Saccharomyces cerevisiae S288C: one gene and its partner. The protein of the gene in region 1 purifies or fractionates together with the protein of each later gene. This does not show direct contact. Each region holds a gene or a part of one and is shown on either strand. Other genes may lie near its edges.

Region 1 (18,778 bases):
TGGAAAAGGCTATGCAACGGGACGTGGATACTCTAATATATGTCCCAAAAGCAGTACATCACTAAAAACACTCGGCAGTAATGCACAGCCAAGAACACCAAGGGAAAGCATGTCATCTATTTTCTCCAATGCACATGGGCCTACCACTCCAACGAGCGCAATGAATTTACCTATCCGTTGCAATGTTTGTAACGGTTCAAGGTTTGAGGCTTTTTCTGGTGCTAATGACCAACAAGATAGAAACTATTATTGCGTAGACTGCGGTACAGTAGTTAATAACTTCCGCTAACGCTGATGGAGTATTTTTTTTCCGTGGATGATACCTTTAAATGCATATTAATCTTCGTACATAAAGTAAAGAAACACGATACACTTAAATAAATTTTAATCTAATAATTAATGAACGCTAACAATGAGCCTATCATTTGTTGCCGATATACTATAACGTATCTCTTCGAAAGAACAAAACGGAGTGAGTGCCTGTTAAGGGTAACTACTCCAAACTGAGTGGACCTCGGCGGCTAAAGCTATACTTTTTCTGTTATTTAAGGGACCTAAAAATACACACAGAGTAGATTAAGATTTGGTGCACTTTTCTCAATTTATCAACTTATAAAGAACAGGCTGCCTTTCAAACATAGGACGTTTCTGTTGACCATAATGAAAATGCCCAGTATTATTCAGATTCAGTTTGTAGCCCTAAAAAGGCTTTTGGTAGAAACCAAAGAACAGATGTGCTTCGCAGTGAAAAGTATATTTCAGAGAGTATTTGCGTGGGTTATGTCATTAAGCTTGTTTTCATGGTTTTATGTAAATCTTCAGAATATTTTGATAAAAGCATTAAGGGTAGGGCCAGTGCCTGAACATGTCTCCTTTATCATGGATGGTAACCGGAGATATGCCAAGTCAAGAAGGCTACCAGTAAAAAAAGGCCATGAAGCTGGTGGGTTAACGTTACTAACACTACTGTATATCTGCAAAAGATTGGGTGTAAAATGTGTTTCCGCCTATGCATTTTCTATTGAAAATTTTAATAGACCAAAAGAAGAAGTAGATACGCTAATGAATTTGTTTACGGTAAAGCTTGATGAATTCGCAAAAAGAGCCAAGGACTATAAGGATCCCTTATACGGATCTAAAATAAGAATAGTAGGTGATCAATCTTTACTATCTCCAGAAATGAGAAAAAAAATTAAAAAAGTGGAAGAAATCACACAGGATGGAGACGATTTCACTTTATTTATATGTTTTCCTTACACTTCAAGAAATGATATGTTACATACTATTCGTGATTCAGTTGAAGACCATTTGGAAAATAAATCACCAAGGATTAATATAAGAAAATTTACTAATAAAATGTACATGGGTTTCCATTCCAATAAATGTGAATTATTAATCAGAACAAGTGGGCATAGGAGGCTCTCAGACTATATGCTATGGCAAGTACATGAAAATGCCACCATTGAATTTAGTGATACGTTGTGGCCAAATTTTAGCTTCTTTGCTATGTACCTGATGATTCTCAAATGGTCCTTCTTTTCCACCATTCAAAAATATAATGAGAAGAATCACTCATTGTTTGAAAAAATACATGAAAGCGTTCCTTCAATATTTAAAAAAAAGAAAACAGCTATGTCTTTGTACAACTTTCCAAACCCCCCCATTTCAGTTTCGGTTACAGGAGATGAATAAGTAAAAGTGCAAAACTAGAAAGCCCAAGAGAGGGCAAAGAACATTCTGAAAACTCCCTGATTCTTCCATACCTATTACCATATTACATCATTTTTAATTAGTAGTCTTTTAATTATCTATTATATCCGGTATATAAAATATCCTTGCGCCAAGTGTATAGCTAATAAAATGTAAAAAAAAAAAAAATTAGGAACAAAAAATAAAAAAAGCGAAAACAAAAAACTCCGTTAATGAATATTTCATGATCTTGTTAAACCTAGGTCATCGAAATCCCCTTGTACTTTACTCAGGTATGCTATTTTCATCCCTATTGCTTATTTCATCAGGTACGGTGGTGGATATATTAGGAGTGAACGTACTGGTAGAATTCGAAACATCAGCTGCTGTAGTAGCGGTGGCATTTAAAGAACTAGGCTCATTTGGGGTATTGACACCTGTGGTAGTATTCGTGGATCTCATATGACTTGATCCAACTTCGTGACACCAATACCTATGATATCCCCATGCTTTTAATTGACACTTTCGTGAGCAATATTTCGTTCTTTTGCATCGACGACATTTTGCAAATTGTCTTGGAAAATCTTCCCATTTTCCGCACGAAAAATTGGCACACTGACGCACACCTAAGATCTCATTTTTTCGACATGAATTTCTCATGATGACAGAACTCCAATATATAACATCATGTGTATTTTCTGCGCTCACTGTATATTTTTCGACTAAGGGGAAGATGTTTACAACATTTGTTAGTACCTTGTTTTTGTAAACAATATTTGTTAATTCCTTTTTCATTTTATCGTAGCTCCAGCGCCTTTCAAAGTTATCAGATATTTTCTTCCTTAAATTAATTCTTTCCTTGTCTTTGCCATAGGCATTGTCGTCGCTAGGTTTCGGTACACGGTAGCGCTCAAACAAATTAAGAACGGGACAGTGGTTATTACATATTTCATTTTGTTCTTCTTGTTGACATCTGTTTGAGAGTTCTTCTAATTCTTTGAAAAATGGATCCATTTTGCTAGTATCTAGTGCCTTAACTTTGGAATTGTTTTCAGGATTTTTCGATAAATAAGGATATAATGAAGACAATTTTACAGTTACGTCTCTTTCTTGTTCTTCTAAGTCATTCTCTTCTGAGATTCTCTGTTTAATTTTGTAAGCCATACTTCTGAACGATAGGGATTCAACCAGCTCAACATTTTGAAGGGTTGATTTCATATATGTATACTTCGAAACAAAAGCTAATAACTGAAGCGACCATATAACGTCGTCTTGTTTGGGGACAATTCTTCCGAGAAAAAATTCACGTGGAGTGGAAATTGTAGGTCTATTAATGTCTGGTTGCGAAAAGAAATTCTTATGTGCATCAAAATTTTCACTTTCTACTTCACTATCAATATCAATGTCGTCGTCGTGTCTTTCCTGGTCAGGTTCAAAATTGCTAGCTAGGTCTGCAAACCGGCCCCATATATCACTAAAATCAGTTGGAATTGTCATAGACGGTGCCACTAATCGTTCGTTTAGAAAATTTTTGTCAGTTGACAACTTCAATTTATCCTGACCTGTAATGAACTCTATATACTGCTGATATGTTTCATTCTCATCTTTTCTCATGAATTTATACATTGTCTCCGTGGTTATCCCTTTGAAGTCAAAGGTCATTGTTTGATCTTTGATGAAGTCGTAATTTTTATGATATAGTAAATAGTTATCCAATACTGTGACCAGCACAGATAAGACCCCAGACATTACCACTTTTTTACGAATTTGTTCTGTCCCTCTAGTACCTGTCAATACTAAGCACTGAAATGTTAAAGTCCATTTCCAAGCGCATAGTGCTAGTCTTTTCTCCTTCCATAGATCCTTTATGTTTTCGTGCTCATTAAAATTTTCTAAATCCAAATCCAGCAACTCAAACAAACTTAAATGACAACTCCTCAATATTGAGACTAATCTTTCGAGAGCACCGTCGTTAGCTACCGTTTCCCTAACTTTTGATGAATTAGAGGTTAGATATGTTAAGTAGTTTAGGGAGTTTATTAACGGAATACTAGAGTTGATATCCAATGCCCTTCGGTCATAGACAGTAGATGTTATTGTTACTATAGGCTTGTTCGACGTTAATGATCGATGATTAGAGTCTCTCATTTCTTTACCTTTTCTTTGTTTTGAATATTTCAAATTACGTTCTATACGCTGTTATGATATGTTAATATAGCAAAAACAAACAAAAACTCCCAGGGAAATGAATTGAAAAATGCAACAAATAGGGACCTCACCTTTGTATAATGGAAGATTCCCAAGTTTCACTTATAGTTGATCAATGGGTATGATGAAATTAGCAAAGTAAAAAAGGGAATGTTTAATGGTTCAACTTAGATAAATGGAAGGTTGAATATGAGAACCAACAAAAATAAAAAATAAATAAAGTCTCAAATTATCTATATCGCTCTAATGAGGAAGTCACTGTGCACACTTACAGAAACTATATAAAAAACGGATATTTTTCTCTTCAGGTAGGGAAGTTTGTCCAGCACTTTCTTCCTTGTGAGCTGCTCTAGGTCTTTCGTTTGTATAGGCCGACCATCAATAACCCAACTCTCAAATTTTGCCACTGAACACCCATACAATACATAACCAAAGTATTCTAGTTGTTATCCTAGCTCGATGCATTGTTGTAGTAGGCCTAATAAGAAGATAGTTCAACCAAGAAAAATAGTCAAAAGGCTTTTTGCCGTTTGAACCATCATAAACTTATGGAAGCCATCTAAATAATTTTCCTTTTTCCTGGTTCCTTTCTATGTATCCAAAGATATATATTAAGTAGCCCACTTCTAGCCAACTTCTAGCCCACTTCTTAGGTAGTAACTATACGCAGCTGCTCCAGGAGGGAAAGAAAAAACCAACGGTCTATATTGTAATAACTATTAGTTTTCTTTCTCTTTCCGTGGGCTTCAACGGCCTTTATATAGCTCTTATTATTCGGAGTTGCTATTGGCGGCTAATATCTTGCGAAAAACGTGAGAATATGAACTTTAAAGTACACATGACTCGATTACTGATAACAAAATTGAGAGGGAAATACATAAGTCAAAATAATAAATGTCTGATGGACCATCTAACAGTTCACCTCGATCTACATATATTTCAATGCGAGAATGATTAATTCTTGCCATTGACAAACAACCCTTTTACTGCCAGCGCCTTTCATAACCATGTAGTTTTATATGCCTAATTATAATAAAGCATGACATATAATGCCAACCCCATATTTATATAGTTAACTTGAAACCGAGATTCATCTATTGCACCAGGAAAAGTGCCTTCTTCTTAAAACATAAGTTACGTCCCGACCATTCATCTAAACGGCATCAATCATTGCAGCAGAAGAAATAGTGTGTAGATGTCCTCGTTCGCTAGACGCAGTCAATGATAACAAGGTCTTTCTTCAAGCTGTCTTTCCATAAAAAGGTATCGCAAATGGGGTCACCAATGCGCCTTTTATTTTTCACGCCGAAAGAAAACTTAGTAGGTCCCTAGAAATGAATAAAGAGGTGATTCTGAGGTTCATTATAAGCCTTTGGTAAAACTTGAACCAAGAAAGATTAAAACACAAAGCCATGCCTATCAAAGAAACTGATAAAGAAGTTGTTTTGACTCATCCAGCTGATGAGACCACCAGCGTTCATATTCTAAAGTACGGTGCTACAGTTTATTCTTGGAAATTGAAATCTGAAGAACAGTTGTGGTTGTCTACTGCTGCTAAATTGGATGGTAGCAAACCTGTGAGAGGTGGTATACCTTTGGTCTTTCCTGTATTCGGGAAAAATAGCACCGATGAACATTTGAGTAAATTACCTCAACATGGTCTTGCAAGAAATTCTACTTGGGAGTTTTTGGGTCAAACTAAGGAAAACCCACCGACCGTACAATTTGGCTTGAAACCAGAAATTGCTAACCCAGAATTGACCAAATTGTGGCCAATGGATTATCTTTTGATTTTGACTGTTGAATTAGGCTCCGATTATTTGAAAACTGCCATAGAAGTAGAAAACACATCTAGTTCCAAGGAATTAAAGTTCAACTGGTTGTTCCATACATACTTCCGTATCGAAGATATTGAAGGAACAATGGTCTCTAATTTAGCTGGCATGAAACTTTATGACCAACTGTTGAAGGAATCCTACGTCGACAAGCACCCAGTCGTTACCTTCAATCAAGAAACCGATGTAATTTATCAGAATGTCAGCGCCGAACGGGCCATTCAAATAGTTGACAAGGGCGTTCAAATTCACACTCTAAAAAGATACAACTTGCCCGACACTGTTGTTTGGAATCCATGGATTGAGAAGTCTCAAGGGATGGCCGATTTCGAACCAAAAACTGGTTACCAACAAATGATATGTATTGAACCTGGTCATGTTCATGATTTTATTTCCTTGGCTCCTGGTAAAAAATGGAATGCTTATCAATTACTTTGCAAAGAAGAATTGAAATATCAAGCTATTCAATAAATAATATAAAAAAATGTAGCAACGGTAATTTTTATAAAGTAAATTCCCAGTTGTATACTTTTCTTAATGTGGGCTATTTGATTACCTCCATCCTTTATCTTTGTTTTTGTTGACGAACAACTAAAGCAACATTCTGTTTACTAAGACTCTTATTTAATTCCAAGTGCAGCAAGAACAAATTGCCAAAAGCGTATTGTTAAACTTGTTCTGGCAGCATATTATCGTAAAATTAAGTAACGTTTTTAAAAATGACACTGAATTCTACTTTGTGATGATCAAACAACACCCACCTGGTCTGATAAAAAAATCTCCGCGACGGGGAATTGAACCCCGATCTGGCACGCGACAAGCGCCCATTCTGACCATTAAACTATCACGGACAAATTTCTGAAGTTTTGTACTTTTACCAGTCCATCTAATACCATATATTTTGATAATAATTATGTCTTTGACAGTAACTTATCATCAGGACTGTTGGAATAAAAATCAAAAATCAACTATCGTCTATCAACTAGTAGTCACACTACCAGTATATTATGATATACGGTGTTAGATGATGGCATAAGGTATGAGAAGCTGTCATCGAAGTTAGAGGATGCTGAAATGCAAGGATTGATAATGTAATAGGATAATGAAACATGTAAAACAGAGTGAAGAATAATCGTAATACTATTATGTAGAAATATGGATTCCATTTGAGGGTTCCTATATCCTCGAGGAGAACTTTTAGTATATTTTGTGTACTATTATTATAGCTGTTAAGTATAATTGGATCCTAACAATTCTCATTATTTGTCAAATTCTCATCATCTATATATTAGACGCCGCATATAGGAAACAGCGATCAAACTTTAACGAAGCGAACATACAATATTCCTGATGTAATAATACCAATCAGCGAACTGTACGAAACAAATAGAAGAACGTTATATTATATGGGATTTTACACTTTTTTGGTGGTATCATATATGCTTGAAAAGATCCTGCAGCATTTCTATATACCTGATAATATTGGTTTTATTAGAAATGGGGTCACAATCATCCGAACTATCGTAACTTTAGAAATAATCCGTCTTTCTTAAATAGTACTCTAGTACACAGTAATGGTATTTGTTTTTACTAGTATTTCTTGACATCTTTTTCTAACCTCTCTTCTAATATACTTGCAATCTTCTGATAATTATGCTTTTCATCCCGATAAAGAGAAACAATGAGGACCATTCAGCCAAAAAAAAAAAAAGCAAGTTAAGCTACTAAGAAAGATCGACACCAAGTGAAGATTAAGTGTAATAGCCTGCTTATTCAAAAATTGAGGTTTGTTGACATGAATAAATTCTGTCTACTACCTTTCCATGGCAAGAGGATAGGCGTGGCCAATATTCCTTTTACCATATTATTCAAAAAGGGCCCTTATTTTCTTCATAGTCACATCACAGCAGTTTATTACTCGACAAAGGGCAAAAATGACAGTCATGAACAAAGTCGTGTATCCAAAAAGTCTACTTTTACCCCTCTGGAAACACCTTGGTACCTCAGGATTGTTGACAATGAAAAGGAACTAATGGAAGGTAAGAAAAATAACCACCACACGATGAACAAAGAATTGGAGATACCTAAAACCTCTCCAAACTCATTAAGAAAAATAGCAGACCTCCTAACTGGTAAACTTGGTCTGGATGACTTCCTGGTTTTCGATTTACGGAAGAAAAGCCCAAACTCTGTTTCAGCCGTTAATAAGTTGGGTGACTTCATGGTCATATGTACAGCAAGATCTACCAAACATTGTCATAAAAGTTTCTTAGAGTTGAACAAGTTTTTGAAGCACGAATTCTGTAGTAGTGCATACGTTGAAGGAAACTTTAATGAGCGACAAGAAAGTAGAAGAAAAAGAAGATTAGCAAGAAAATCCAACCTTAGTAAACTATTAGGTAGAAGCTCTGAATGCTCTGCAAAAGACTTAAATAGTGAGGCTTGGTATATGATTGATTGTCGTGTCGATGGTATTTTTGTAAATATTTTGACACAGAGAAGGCGTAATGAATTGAATTTAGAAGAGCTGTATGCACCTGAAAATGAGAAATCTAAGTTCCAAAATATAGATTCAGGTAATGTCCCTACTATTTCAGGGGTAAATGAAATTTCAAGCAACAATAATATTCTTTTAGGCCTAAGAAGACTGGCCCAGCAAAGGAGAAGGTATTCAACTATCAACCCAAACGGGCTAAGTAATTTAAGATACTTTCTACAAAAGGAAGACTTCAAAGGAGCCAATAAGATAATTCAGAGTAGTAGTGGTACTGAAACTCACAATATACGTACTTTGGAGCATGTTAAAAATACTTTAAAGGATTTGGTAGGACAAGAGAGGAAAGTAGATGTTGTTCAATGGAAGTCCTTATTTGACGAACATTCAACTTTTTTAACCATAAATCAATCGGCTGCATATTGGCCACTACGACTAGAATATGCGATACTTCTAAACAAAGCAGACCCACAATTTTATTCAGATCGTGTTTTCCTCAAGGATTATCTACTTTTAAAAAAATCGTTGGGGCAAGAGTTAATAAGGGAAGATCTAATCGCTCTTTTAGAAATGGTTTTGAAAACGCAGCATTCTAGTCATTCATACTTTAACCTAGTAAAGCAAAATAGGGTGATTATCAGAGCTTTGAACCTATTTAAAGGTCTACAAACAGAGGACGATGGCTCAGTTGTTTACGATGAAGTGGTAATATCCCTTCTTTTAAATTCCATGGTCGCGGATGAACGGGTAAAATTGAGATCACTCTACGAGACAATAGACCACATTTTCCAAACATTTGGAGATAAGTTGACTTCAGGCATGATTGTCTCAATATTGCAAAACTTGGCCAAAATCAAAGACTGGAATAAGCTACTTCAAGTCTGGGAAGCTATCACACCAACGGAAGGGGAAGGTCAGGACAAAAGGCCCTGGAATGAATTTATAAATGTTATCAATCAAAGCGGTGATAGTCACGTTATATCGAAAATCGTAAATAATGGTCATTTGCTATGGATCAGACGTTTAAATGTTAACGTAACTCCGGAGTTATGCAACTCCATTAAAGCGTTATTAAAAACCGCTGGAATGGAGAATTCCACATTGGAAGAATTCCTAGTCCGTGGAACAAACAATCAATAGTATTACCTGTATATAATATCTTAATCTCTCGTCGTTCGCCTTATTTATATTTGAATCAAATATTTAATTCTGCCACATGGTAGGTTCATTTTGCCGCAGATCAAAGAACACGGACCATCATGTCAAAAGTACACAATTTTTGTCTTTTCGAAACAATTTGGTTTAGTTATTAGGAGAAGAAAGAACGAATGATAATGCTCATTACTCAGACCTGAATGCAAAAAAGCCAAATCAAATACAGAAATGCACATAAATGTGAGAGGAACTAGGAAAATAATTTCCAACGTTTCATCCTTCACACCAAGATATGAATTTCCAAAGTACAGTATGCCTCTCACTGATTTCAAGGGACACCAAGTCAAAGCTCTTAAAACATTTGAAAAGTTGCTTCCTCAAATGAATATGATAATAGAACTACGTGATATACGTGCCCCGTTATCTACAAGGAATGTGGTTTTCGATCGAATAGCAAGAAAGGAACACGATGTGATGAAATTAGTGGTATACACTAGAAAGGATCTTATGCCCGGCAATAAGCCATATATAGGAAAGTTAAAGAATTGGCATGAAGAGCTGGGAGAAAAGTTTATTTTACTGGATTGCCGAAACAAAACTGACGTCAGGAATCTACTAAAAATACTAGAATGGCAAAATTACGAACTAGAAACAAATGGCGGATATCTACCTATGGGATACCGAGCATTGATTACTGGCATGCCAAATGTTGGAAAATCTACTTTAATAAATAGCTTGAGGACAATTTTTCACAATCAAGTGAATATGGGAAGAAAATTTAAGAAAGTAGCCAAAACTGGTGCAGAAGCTGGTGTTACTAGAGCCACAAGCGAGGTTATTAGAGTAACTTCACGGAATACGGAATCAAGAAATGAAATATACTTGATAGATACTCCAGGAATCGGTGTTCCCGGTCGCGTTTCAGATCATAATAGAATGCTAGGACTGGCGTTGTGTGGTAGTGTTAAAAATAACCTTGTAGATCCAATATTTCAAGCGGATTACCTTTTATACCTAATGAACTTGCAAAATTTGAACGATGGAAGAACAGAGCTTTACCCTGGAAGCACCAATTCTCCCACAAATGATATATATGATGTTTTAAGAAGGCTTCAAGTGAATAAAAGCCAAAATGAAAAATCAACGGCTATCGAGTGGACTAACAAATGGAGGTTGCATGGAAAGGGTATCATATTTGACCCTGAGGTACTGTTGAATAATGACGAGTTTTCTTATAAAAACTATGTAAATGATCAATTGGAAAAGTTAGGAGATCTTTCGTATGAGGGATTGTCTAACAAACTAAAAGGGAACCCCAATCAAGTATTCTAGTAAATAATATCCAGCATACATAAGCTTATCTAATAATTAGATCATTTTACAATGTGTACCGAGTAATACAAAGTTGAGGGGGGAAAAAGTGTTATAATGCTCAAAATACCTGTTCAAAGAAATCACCACCCAATTTCGGAAAGTCTTACTCCATTGGAAGCATGACTAATAGATTCGATTGATACACCACCCATTAACTCTCCTAAGTCACTAGATACTTCCAACAATTTGCTGGGATTGTCAAAGTGAGTGGTAGCCTCTACTACTGCAGTGGCCAACCTTACAGGATTAGATGATTTAAAAATTCCTGAGCCAACAAACACACCATCACAACCCAACTGCATTAACAATGCGGCATCGGCTGGCGTTGCTACACCACCTGCAGCAAAATTTACTACTGGCAACTTACCTTTTTCTAAAACATCTTTCAGCAAAGAAACTGGTACCCTCATTTCCTCAGCAACTTTTGCAATGTCATCTTCGCTCTTCAATTGTTGGCACGCCTTTATCTCCTCTGTAATTCTCCTTATATGCTTGACGGCTTCAGAGACATCGCCCGTTCCAGCTTCACCCTTGGTACGAATCATAGCGGCGCCTTCATTAATTCTTCTCAAAGCTTCACCTAAGTCTTTAGCGCCACAAACAAATGGAACTTTGAATTTGTCCTTTTCAATGTGGTGAGTCCAATCAGCAGGAGTCAAGACTTCACTTTCGTCAATATAGTCAACTTCCAATGCCTCAATAATTTGAGCTTCAACAAAATGGCCAATCCTTACCTTAGCCATGACGGGAATGGAAACGGAGTTCATGATGTCCTTAATCATCTTCGGATCTGACATGCGGCAAACCTTTCCTGACTTACGCATATCTGCTGGGATGGATTCTAATGCCATTACCGCACATGCACCAGATTTTTCAGCTATTTTTGCCTGCTCTGGAGTAACAACATCCATAATAACGCCACCTTTTAACATTTGGGCGAGACCACTCTTGATCTTAAAGTCTTCTCCAGTCATCGTGATAATTAACTGAATATTAGTACTGTGTATATTTGCTAGTCGTTCCTAAAGGTTTCTCCAACAATACCATAGACTTCGTCCATAGCTCTCAGCGTCCTCCTATTTATATCGAAAATGGTACTTCGCAGCCAGAATTACAGACGTAACTAACGGTGCGGCAGAGTGTGTCAGAGTCATGAAGAAATGGCGGCGCTACCTGAAAAGTAGTGAAAAAGCCCGGCTTTCAACCCTTACCCTTGTCGGCTGAGTCATTATGTCATGATGAGCTATTCCAACTAGTGCCATAAATTCCAACTGAGTCAGTAAACGGCATTTATCAGCAATAACTGGTCACGAACTCTTTGAATGTTTTATTCTTTCTTCCAAAAATCACGTTGATGCCACCAGGTTTTTTTTTCTTATTATTTCATTTCGTTAAATAGAAAGAAAAACCATATCTTAAAGTATGCACAAAACCCACAGTACAATGTCCGGAAAGTCGATGAAAGTAATTGGGGTTTTGGCGTTGCAAGGTGCCTTTTTGGAGCATACCAACCATTTAAAAAGGTGTTTGGCTGAAAACGACTACGGAATAAAGATAGAAATCAAAACTGTAAAAACTCCTGAGGATCTAGCCCAGTGCGACGCCTTAATTATTCCCGGAGGAGAATCTACGTCGATGTCCCTCATCGCTCAAAGAACAGGCTTATATCCTTGTTTATACGAATTTGTTCATAATCCGGAAAAGGTAGTTTGGGGTACTTGTGCTGGTCTCATCTTTTTAAGCGCGCAATTAGAAAACGAAAGTGCCCTAGTAAAGACTTTAGGTGTGTTGAAGGTCGACGTGAGAAGAAACGCATTTGGAAGACAAGCTCAATCTTTTACACAAAAGTGTGATTTTTCCAATTTCATACCTGGCTGTGATAATTTTCCTGCTACATTTATTCGCGCACCCGTGATCGAGAGAATTCTTGATCCTATCGCGGTTAAAAGTTTATATGAATTGCCAGTGAATGGAAAGGATGTGGTTGTAGCTGCAACGCAAAATCATAATATCCTTGTGACTTCTTTTCATCCAGAGCTTGCTGACAGTGATACAAGATTTCATGATTGGTTTATCAGACAGTTTGTTTCTAATTAAAATACCGCCGGTTTTCCACATTTTTATATTACCAAAACCTGAGAGATTTTTTCACATCGATAAATCTCTACTCGTTTACTATCGAACAATGCTCTAGGTACGATGATATTGTTAAAAACTTCAGATACATTTTGTAGCTTGATATGGTTCAAAGTCCGAAAAGATAGCCAAACTATTGCTTGACATCGAAGGTATGTTATTTGATTAATTTCACTTTTGTCAAGCTCTTTTATTCTTGTGTGTCGTAAATTAAAAAATTTTGTGAATTTACTATCATCTTCCTTTATGTACAACGATTTAAAAGTTCTCTTATCGACTTTTAGTTCCTTTAGTATATTTTCCTCGATGTTCCACCACTTGATTTTACTTACACGTTTCATTGTCAGAGATTTAAAATTTTTGGGAAAGACAATGCTATTCAGGTCGATGTAAGCTACTCTACTTAATACAAGCTTTTGCAAGTTGTCCCATCTTGTAAAGTCAGCTAGTCCGGTTCTGGAAATTTGATTCATGCGTGATAGGCGTATTTCATTTATCCTACGTTTCACTATGTAACTAATCGTTTTACCAGGATTGTCTCTGAACCCATGAAAATTTATTAGCAACTCATATAATTTCTCTCCTCTCACAGTGATCTTCCGCAGGCTCTTCATGGATTCCATACTTCTTATTGTTCTTATAACAGAAATACTTGTTAGTTGGTTGTGCGTTGCTCCCACATTGCCATTATCTGAATGTGATCTTTTGGATGCTGACCTTTTCTTGTTTTTAATTGTGGAGCTAGGTGAGGAGTTTTCGTCAGAATTAGCTCCACTAACATCAACATCTTTCTCTTCTCCTACTTCTTCATCTTGTCCAAATTGTACCTCCCCGATTGTTGCGAATAAATCTTTCTGTTCTAAAATTGATAAGCATTTGTCTACTAGTTGTGGAGTTAGATTATCAATGTTGAATTGAATATTACTTACATTAAGTAAGTCAAGCTCGTCAAAAGCAACACTGTCTATCACCCACTTCTTGTACTCTTTAAAAGTATACCAAACTTCTAACATACTGGCCTTATTGAAGTAGGCCAGTCGAAGTTCATTATCAAGGTACGTCCATTCTAATGCATCTATAAGCGTTCCGTCATAAAGATGGTTTACTTTGAAACAGTCCAAAACCAGGCAATCATAGCGCAACCAAAATGCATACTCAAGCCATTTTTCAATGAGTTGCGGAGAGTATTCGAAAATGTTCAAATACGTGGCAAAAACAGGATACATGTATCTCAATAATTTCTTAGATCTCTTAGACCTTTTATAACTTGGTTTTCCTGGAAGCTCCACATCATTAGATTTGTATAATATATCTATTGGGTAGGGATGTGCTCCGCAAAAATTACCATCTAAATGGAAGTAAACTTCTTTTCTAATGTCAATTGGTAACTCTAAGAATCTAACAGGATTGAAAGAAGGCATCAAGCGACATGGACTTCTGGGGACTCACAGTCAGCTTTCTGTTGATAGCATCTCATCTCACAATGTTTTGTTTTCAAGCCCTCGAAGGTAGTTAAACGCGAAAACGTATCAAAATGCAAAGCACTCTAAAATGAAATTTATACAGGTTCCTTTTTTCAATAAAAAGAGAAGATATTATTTTTTTCGATTACAATGAGAAAGAGATATATATGTATGCCTGAATATCTATAAAATAGATACAAATTAAAATCTATATGCTAATATTTCCTTAACTCGTTAAAAGTTGAAGCATACCTTCAATTCTTTGAGCTTCTTTAGACTTATGAATTTCATGTCTAACTTTAGTTTTCAAATCTATCATCAATTCTTGAAGAACTGGAGAGCTTTCTAACGTATTCCCATATAATTCTAAAACCACGGCGACCCAATCCGCTACAATAGATGCTGATCTCACATCTTCAATACCTTTTAAGCACCAATTCAGTAGCGGCTCTAATGTAGATTCATCTCTACCATATAGCGCTACACGAACTTTGCCACGTTTGCGTAGTTCTTGAAGAACAGTAAGTGTCAACTCTTTGGCCATACCTGGTACAAAGGCATTGTCGAGTGCTTCGCTCCATTTAAACTGATTTATGTTCCTTTCGAATGCACGCATACGACGTTGAGATCTTACCTTATCATTGTGGATTATATGCTCTTGATCACCTTGGTATTCCGAGCCTCGCATCATTCTCTGGAAGTTATTACTTTTCGCATTCTTATTAAAACTGGCGGGTGCGTTTTCTTTATCGGAAGAACGTTTCTCTTTCTTTTTAGTTCTAATGGCTAGTAGTCCTGATGATAAACCTGCTACTAAATGCCTATTCCCTTGTGCGGTACTAGGGGAGACAGCACAACTTAGTACGGGACCCGAAAATTTCCAGCCAAATTTGACTTGGAAATTGTCTAAAGGATCAAAGACTTTGACATGACCATCTAAGGAAGAAGCGATCAACGCCGATTGCATTGGAGAATCAAAATTTTCAACATAGTCCAAGCATGTCACAGCCTTATTGAAATTGCCACGTTCGTATAATTTCTTGTTACTGGTCAAGTCCCACACTTTGAAATTATTGCCACCGCAAGAAACAATTTGGGTTGGAGATACTGCAATAACATTTTCAACAGGTTGGTCATGATTCAGAGAATAAATTGGCGTGGATCCGCTAGATCTTGTGTCATATAATCTGATCAAACCGTCGTATGAGCCTGTTGCAACCAAATGTGGGGCTGCTGGGATAAATGATAAGGTACGAACATAGTCAGTAGCTCCGGTGAGCTCTAATTGTGGCTCATATGCGTTGGATATATCCCAAAGTCTTGTCACTCTATCGTCACTCGCCGTAGCCAGAATTTTGTTATCTTGCGTATGGAATTTCGTAACATGTGTGGGATGTGTGGAAGCGTTTATAGATAAAAGGATAGTCCTGGGATTATAACTGTCGTATACAGACACTAAACCGGTAGCATCACCGGCACAAAGCAATTTACCATCACTCCTAAAGGATGCAGAATAGACAACATCTTTAAATCTTGAAAAGGTCTTGATCACTTGCCTAGTTCTTGAAGAAAATATTTGAACTCTGGTTGAGGAAGTTACTGCAAAATCATGAGGATGTTGAGGATTGAATGATATGTGAGTAACGCTATTATGTTCTTTAACCAGTTGTGCGGAAGTGTATTGACGCCAGTAACGCTGCTCCGGGGTAGTCTGTTGAGGCAATAATGGAGCCTTCGAAGTGATTATTCTAGGCCTAGCAGTCGACATTTTATTTCTATATTATGATCCTTAGGCCTGTTCTTAGCAAAAACTGTTTCAAGGGACTTCTATTAGTGATGGGCATCGTTTTTTCTTCAAAGCTCGAAAGTTTTCAAAATTTTTCAGTTATTCCAAAAATTTTCAAAAGATAATTATCACTAATTACGAGGTATGTAGGTCACAGAACGTTAAATATTATGCTTACTTGGGGTGAATGACTAGAAACTGGAGGTGTATCAATACTAGCTATTGCTTTCCGTTCATAATCAGAACTGAACGCTACCAAGACGTTCTGAAACGTTTTTATTGGTCTCTAGTGTCCCGTTCGTTTGTTTTCGAAACAATGAATTGTATATGATGTACGGATGTTTTCACCCTGTAACCTGCCACCTTTTCTACCGAAGGCATATATGTCAGATCTTTGATTAATGATCATTATTTAATTATAAGGGGAAGCAACTCAGCACTATTCTGCCTTTTGCAACTCGCAAATACAGTTTTTAAGGTATATTAACGGGCAAAAGTAGCAAAGTAAACAAAAATAATGTCATCTATCTCTTTGAAGGAAATTATACCACCTCAGCCTTCGACACAGCGTAACTTTACTACGCATTTATCGTATGACCCTACAACCAACGCAATTGCTTACCCATGTGGAAAATCTGCATTTGTACGTTGTTTGGACGATGGAGACAGTAAAGTACCTCCAGTAGTACAATTTACTGGTCATGGCTCTTCGGTAGTCACAACGGTAAAGTTCTCTCCAATTAAGGGTTCCCAGTACCTATGCTCCGGTGACGAATCTGGAAAAGTGATTGTTTGGGGATGGACATTTGACAAAGAAAGCAATTCTGTTGAAGTGAATGTTAAGTCTGAATTCCAAGTTTTAGCAGGTCCAATCAGCGATATCTCCTGGGATTTTGAAGGGCGAAGACTCTGCGTTGTGGGAGAAGGTCGTGATAACTTTGGTGTTTTCATATCCTGGGATTCTGGTAATTCCTTAGGTGAAGTTTCAGGTCACTCACAACGCATCAATGCTTGTCATTTGAAGCAATCTAGACCTATGAGATCTATGACAGTTGGAGATGATGGATCTGTTGTCTTTTATCAAGGACCTCCATTTAAGTTCTCTGCCAGTGACAGAACACACCACAAACAAGGCTCATTTGTCAGGGATGTTGAATTTTCACCTGACAGCGGTGAATTTGTTATTACGGTAGGGTCTGACAGAAAGATTTCTTGCTTTGATGGCAAATCAGGTGAGTTTCTTAAATACATAGAGGATGATCAAGAACCAGTTCAAGGTGGTATATTTGCACTATCGTGGCTTGATTCCCAAAAGTTTGCTACCGTAGGAGCAGACGCTACCATTAGGGTTTGGGACGTCACGACTTCAAAATGCGTTCAAAAATGGACCTTAGACAAGCAACAACTGGGAAATCAACAAGTTGGTGTTGTTGCAACAGGAAACGGAAGGATTATTTCTCTTTCACTGGATGGGACCTTAAACTTCTATGAACTTGGACATGACGAGGTTTTAAAAACCATTAGTGGTCATAACAAGGGTATTACTGCTTTGACAGTCAACCCACTAATCAGTGGGTCATATGATGGTAGGATTATGGAATGGTCTAGCTCTTCCATGCACCAAGATCACTCCAACTTGATTGTATCATTGGATAATAGTAAAGCGCAAGAATACTCCAGTATTTCTTGGGATGATACTTTGAAAGTGAACGGTATTACTAAGCATGAATTTGGATCGCAACCAAAGGTTGCTAGTGCGAACAATGATGGCTTCACTGCAGTACTAACAAATGATGATGATTTGTTGATATTACAGTCTTTTACGGGCGATATAATCAAGAGTGTAAGACTGAACTCACCAGGCTCTGCCGTTAGCTTGAGCCAAAATTACGTTGCAGTTGGTTTGGAAGAAGGTAATACTATTCAGGTATTCAAATTATCAGATTTGGAAGTCAGTTTTGATTTAAAAACACCTCTTCGCGCAAAACCCTCGTACATATCAATTTCGCCATCTGAAACATACATCGCTGCTGGAGATGTTATGGGCAAGATATTGCTATATGATTTACAATCAAGAGAAGTGAAAACTTCAAGATGGGCTTTCCACACCAGTAAAATCAACGCCATTTCATGGAAACCTGCTGAAAAGGGAGCAAACGAAGAGGAAATTGAAGAGGACTTAGTTGCCACTGGTTCTTTAGACACCAATATTTTTATTTACTCCGTCAAAAGACCTATGAAAATCATTAAGGCGTTGAATGCTCACAAGGACGGTGTTAACAACCTTTTATGGGAAACACCATCTACCTTGGTTAGTTCTGGTGCGGACGCTTGCATTAAAAGGTGGAATGTTGTCCTCGAGTGAGATAAGAATATAAAGTAAACAATTACGTAACCTTAGAAAAATAGATATAAAAAAGTTTTACACTGTTTTTACCACAGTCCATATAAACTTGTAATTATTACCCGAATGCTTTGATTACTTCGCTCTTTTAAAAAAAAACCCGTTCGAACTATTAAACATGTTACTGTGAGCAGACAAAAATATTGCAAGAAAACAGCTTTATAAAGTTTAAGCATTACTGAATACAGTACATTTACTTTTGAAGAAGGAAATACCATCTAGCAGAAATGTCAG
Region 2 (4,780 bases), on another chromosome or scaffold:
GCTGCATTGAATCACTATACATGGGGTTGATATGGCCGCAAATTTTTTTAAACTGAATAGTCTGAACTGGTATCGTTCTTACGTTAGGAGGTGTGAATGCACCGTGTCTGTGCATATTATTGACCAAGATGGCGAAATTTTTAGCTAGCAACCCCTTAGAACCTCTTGAACTATCAAAATTAATAAAATTCAGATATGTGTTATCCAAAAACATTCGAACCAAATCGTGTGTTCCCACCAAACATTGAAGTATACAGTTCATATAACAACAGTTACCTATATTTTCCAATCCTACTATAAGATCTAGATCAAGCACTTGTGAGTTGTTTAGGATGGTCTGCCTCGACGAAGACAAGTTCTGTTGTGGTAAAGGCGGAATACGTGGCGAGAATACATTCGATGCAGGGGGCAAATAGGCATGGGCTTGTGCAGCGCGGATATCTGGCGATATTCTTTCCACAGTGTTTGCTTTATTTTGAATGGTCGAGGGTGTATTGAGTTTTGAGAGAGTGGTTGGTGGATGTGGACTAAATTTTTGAACGGTGGGAGAATTTCTGTTGGGGCTTGGTTGCGGTATAATGGGCAAATCTGAATAGTATAAGGGTAATTGAGGCCTTTGCACCGTTGTTAGCAAAGGCTGCGTATTCATGGATACCATCGGCATACTCTTATCTTTATTTGGAGATAGAGATTTCTGATTGAACAAGCCTGTTGGGACTTGCGGACTACCAAAAGCTGGCGTTGAAGACGAGGATGTAAGATGCGCTGTTTCACTGACAGATGATTGATACGCCCCACCTAATTTAACCCAGTTTGAGAACCCATTTTCCAAAATGAGTATTTTCGTCCCACTCAGCGGTTTAATTACTGAATTTTGGGAAAGAATCTTCGCAAGGATGCGAGTTTGCCTTTGCTGGAAATTATTATGCAATTGAGTGTCAGTATATAAAATAATGAACTTGAACTTGTCTCGATTTGAAAAGAAAGTGATATCTGAGTGCGGCGAAGTGATCAAAGAGACACTTTCAATTTGTTGGTCTGTAAAAGAATCCTTAAATGAGGCAGGATCGATGCATATAATGTTTTTGCATTTGATATGGGCCCTAACGAATTCAGACCTGGGCCGTACATCGATAAGCAAGAGAGCGTCACCATGAAAATGCAACATTGAACTTAATTTTCCAGGCTCTATAGTTTGCAACTGTATAAATTTAGGGTAATTTTCAATGACATTTCGAATCCGCTCAATATTTGGGTCATTATGCAAAAGCTGGATTCTCTCCCCGTACAAATTTCTAACATTCTGGTCCTTGTTGCTCGAAAATTCCTTTAGTCTTGGTAGAGTATCCTCCAAGAGCGTATATACGATCATGTAATATAAAAAAGCTGTTTCATTCAATCGGAGAAACCCCTTTGACAACCGGTTTGCATCTTCTTTAGGGGCCTGCATGGTTATATCCTGGCATGCGTCCACATAACTAGACCATATTTCTGCGCATTCTTGGAGCAAAGGCAGACACTCTTGTGGCACGTCGTCATCATCAAGAAACTTCTGAACTAAATGCCTAAGCCTGCCGAACCGCTCTTTAGCAGATTCGACAACCTCACTTAAGGCTTGTTCTGAGCCCATTACGCTTGTGCCTATTTGTGTAGAGAGATAATAAAGAAAGGACTCCACATACGTTGGAGAATACCTAGCAACTAAATATAGCTGGTGTTTACTTGATGTGTTGAAGTGAGGCGCAAGGAAAAAAGAAAAAAAATCAATGCCCGGTAGATCAATTGGACCAGGGGTTCTTGTTTTGCGACGCCGTACAGACAAGGCCAACTTTATAAAAACGATATTAGAAATTATTGTATATATGTATATAAATGTAGTATTTTTATCAACAGAAAATAGGTGGAAAACTCCCACCCTGTGCTAGACTTCATTCAAAGAGAGTCGGCTTTAACGTGGAGGACTTCCTTGTCTGTGGCGACGTTTTGAGACGAGGAATGACTGGTAGTTTGCTCGGGAAGTTCGTAGTTCTCTTGCACATTGATCTCACCATCTTCATTGAAGTTGATGTTCTCCATCTTGGCAAACAGTTGTCTCTTTTGCTCTTCCGTCAACTCCTGCTTTTTCTTGTTCTTGATCCAGTATCCTGGGTTCAAGTGTTTCAATTGTAAGTTTTTGGTGAAAGGCAAGTGACCACGCCTTTCTTCGAATATCATTAAACTCAACACAATGATAAGAACCAACCAATAGATGTTGTAACAAAGCATGGATGACAAGTAGCCGGTGTTCTGCCATCCAAGCAAAGCATTGAAGATATCCCACCCATTGTCCAGTTCTGGGTTGCAACAATTGACATGGTAAACGGCCTTTCTGATGTTATAAGACCCATTACCATCACCGCCTTCGGAAGCATCACCACCACTGGCAAGGTTGAATCTGTAATTTTCAAAGTACCACGCACCACGAGAGAAAAGACCGGCGGAGATCAGGTACAAGATCGAAGTAGACAAAATCAAGAAAATCTGCAGCGAGGATTTCGAAGCACCATAGTACAACAAATACCCAACAAGACCACCACATATCAAACCAACCACAACGGGCAATGGGTAAGCAGAGGCGTGCGAGCCCTGTGTGGTAATACCTGCACCGGCAACGAACACAACAGCTTCCAAACCTTCTCTCAAGACAGTAATAAACGGCAAAAGGAACATAGCATATCTTCTACTCAAGAACCCAATCTTGAAATAGTCTCTCTTACGGTGAGGAATCTCCACCAACGACCGCGCAATCTTCACTCTCCACTTACTCTGCATCTTATTCATTCTCAACATAGGAATACCCATCATCGAGATCATTATCGTCGCAATCATACAAAAGATACCTTCCCACAAGTCTTCCGCGCTTCCGAAAATATCCTTCTGCAGCGAATAGTACGCACCGATGAAACCTGCACCGATGGCCAGACAAATGATGAACCCGAGTAACACACCGACCCAAACCTGAATCCTTAATTTACGGTACAGCGCCCGGTCATGTTCCCCGATTGCCTGTTTCAAAAACGATAGCAGCACGGAAATAACAATCACTGCTTCCAAGCACTCTCTGAACACAACGAAGAAAACGGCCACGTTAAACACTTTGTTAGGCATGGCGGGAAGTATATGTGTGATGACCTGCTGAGAGAAGATTTCGACAACGTACAATCCGTCGTGTTATGTATTTTTTTGCTCACATTGAGCATTTTATATAACTAAAAGCTCAAGGTCGAACTACAGCCCATCGCTTCCACCGGGCCTTGCAACACCAACTTAGAAATCGGGTGCATTCATCTACGCTGTGCAGAGAATGAAATGCGCACCTTCTTACTGCTGCGACGGTGCTCGGCACGGCTTACGCGGGCGGGGGAAGGAAATAGCGGCCTGGCGTGAGTCGGCAGTCAGCGGCGGGCTCACTGTACTCGCTCGTTTAATGCACCAGCAGTATTCGCGCACTTAATAATAGTATTTCTGCACCCTGGCCTGGAAAGAATGCTCGATGCGCCCTGGTTGATTGGCGCAGAGCGTGTGTCAGTGCCGGACCCGATTTCTTTTTTTCTACACGTTGGTCTGATGTCTCAGGAGTTAGTAGTGACCGTGGTCAAGAAAAAAACAGGACGAAAAATTGTTGAGAACGTATACGTATATTGTATTCTTCTTTTTTTTCTTTGCTGCCCTTTTATTATCTATTTCATTTTTTAACCAGAGGCAATCGTAAGAGAGAGATAATATAGCCCTTTTTGGTCTTTTTTGGCACCTTCAGCCGGACCCTGCTCTTTTATTACCCGGATGCTCGGGTTTTGTCTTTGCATCCGGGTAGCAAAACAGAATACTTGCTTTCTTATTGAAGTAGAAAAAATACAGAGAAAGCGAAAAAGGCTTCCTTGGCGGATAGATGGTCTCACAACAAGCATAGCGTATACACGTGCACTCACAAGCATACACAGAAGCGCGCAAAATGAGTCTACCGGAGATTTTGCCTTTGGAAGTCATAGATAAAACAATTAACCAGAAAGTGTTGATTGTGCTGCAGTCGAACCGCGAGTTCGAGGGCACGTTAGTTGGTTTCGACGACTTCGTCAACGTTATACTGGAAGACGCTGTCGAGTGGCTTATCGATCCTGAGGACGAGAGCAGAAATGAGAAAGTTATGCAGCACCATGGCAGAATGCTTTTAAGCGGCAACAATATTGCCATCCTTGTGCCAGGCGGCAAAAAGACCCCTACGGAGGCGTTGTAAAAAGGCAAAAATTAACGCGAATTTGTATAGTGCATCTAAAAAAAATAATTAAGTATAAAAATAGATAAAGGAAATCAAGTGTTTCTTTTTTTTTTTTTGGTTTATTGTTTGACACTGGTGATTTGCTTAACCAGCGCCTCCAGCTTCGCGTTCGTGAGAGCGACGTCTTTTCCCCGCATCGCCACCGTACAATTCATTAAATGCCATATTCCGATCACGTATTGGACCTTGCGCATGCCGCCCTGCTGGCGGCACATATCGAAACACTTTGCTGAAATCGCATAGATCTCGCCCAGATCGTGTTCGAGCATTCGACCGCCTAAGTAGTTTACCAGTATTTGCAGCAACAGAGCCTTCTTCAATTTGAAGCGGTTGTCCGCAACGGCTTCTCCGGCAACGAACTTGTTGCTAGAGTAGAACTCGCGGAGCTTCGACACGTACTCGGCGCGCTGCTTGTCACTACATGGCAGCGGGTTCCAACTGAACGGCTCGAAATGGCTGAAAAGC

What was found.
Region 2: the proteins of ATP25 (region 1) and LSM5 purify together in Saccharomyces cerevisiae (affinity purification with mass spectrometry, with the first as the bait; one large-scale study listed by BioGRID). This does not show direct contact.

The regions. Positions count from the first base shown.
Region 1 is NC_001145.3:451,359-470,136, reverse strand, and holds ATP25 (Atp25p), read left to right. Parts: upstream 1-7,527; coding exon 7,528-9,366; downstream 9,367-18,778. Other genes in the region: LAF1 (Laf1p), read left to right, coding at 1-289; SRT1 (ditrans,polycis-polyprenyl diphosphate synthase), read left to right, coding at 661-1,692; MYND-type zinc finger protein MUB1, read right to left, coding at 1,975-3,837; YMR099C (glucose-6-phosphate 1-epimerase), read left to right, coding at 5,310-6,203; putative GTPase MTG1, read left to right, coding at 9,610-10,713; pyridoxine biosynthesis protein SNZ1, read right to left, coding at 10,836-11,729; SNO1 (putative pyridoxal 5'-phosphate synthase), read left to right, coding at 12,178-12,852; CTF13 (Ctf13p), read right to left, coding at 12,876-14,312; snoRNA-binding rRNA-processing protein UTP15, read right to left, coding at 14,581-16,122; AIP1 (Aip1p), read left to right, coding at 16,658-18,505; and 1 more. UniProt on the Saccharomyces cerevisiae protein: mRNA stabilization factor specific for the 0.95 kb OLI1 mRNA. Also involved in OLI1 ring formation.
Region 2 is NC_001137.3:458,594-463,373, forward strand, and holds LSM5 (RNA-binding protein LSM5), read left to right. Parts: upstream 1-3,991; coding exon 3,992-4,273; downstream 4,274-4,780. Other genes in the region: putative ubiquitin-specific protease UBP5, read right to left, coding at 1-1,630; high-affinity iron permease FTR1, read right to left, coding at 1,933-3,147; YER145C-A (uncharacterized protein), read right to left, coding at 3,793-4,230; cohesin-loading factor complex subunit SCC4, read right to left, coding at 4,375-4,780. UniProt on the Saccharomyces cerevisiae protein: Component of LSm protein complexes, which are involved in RNA processing and may function in a chaperone-like manner. Component of the cytoplasmic LSM1-LSM7 complex which is involved in mRNA degradation by activating the decapping step.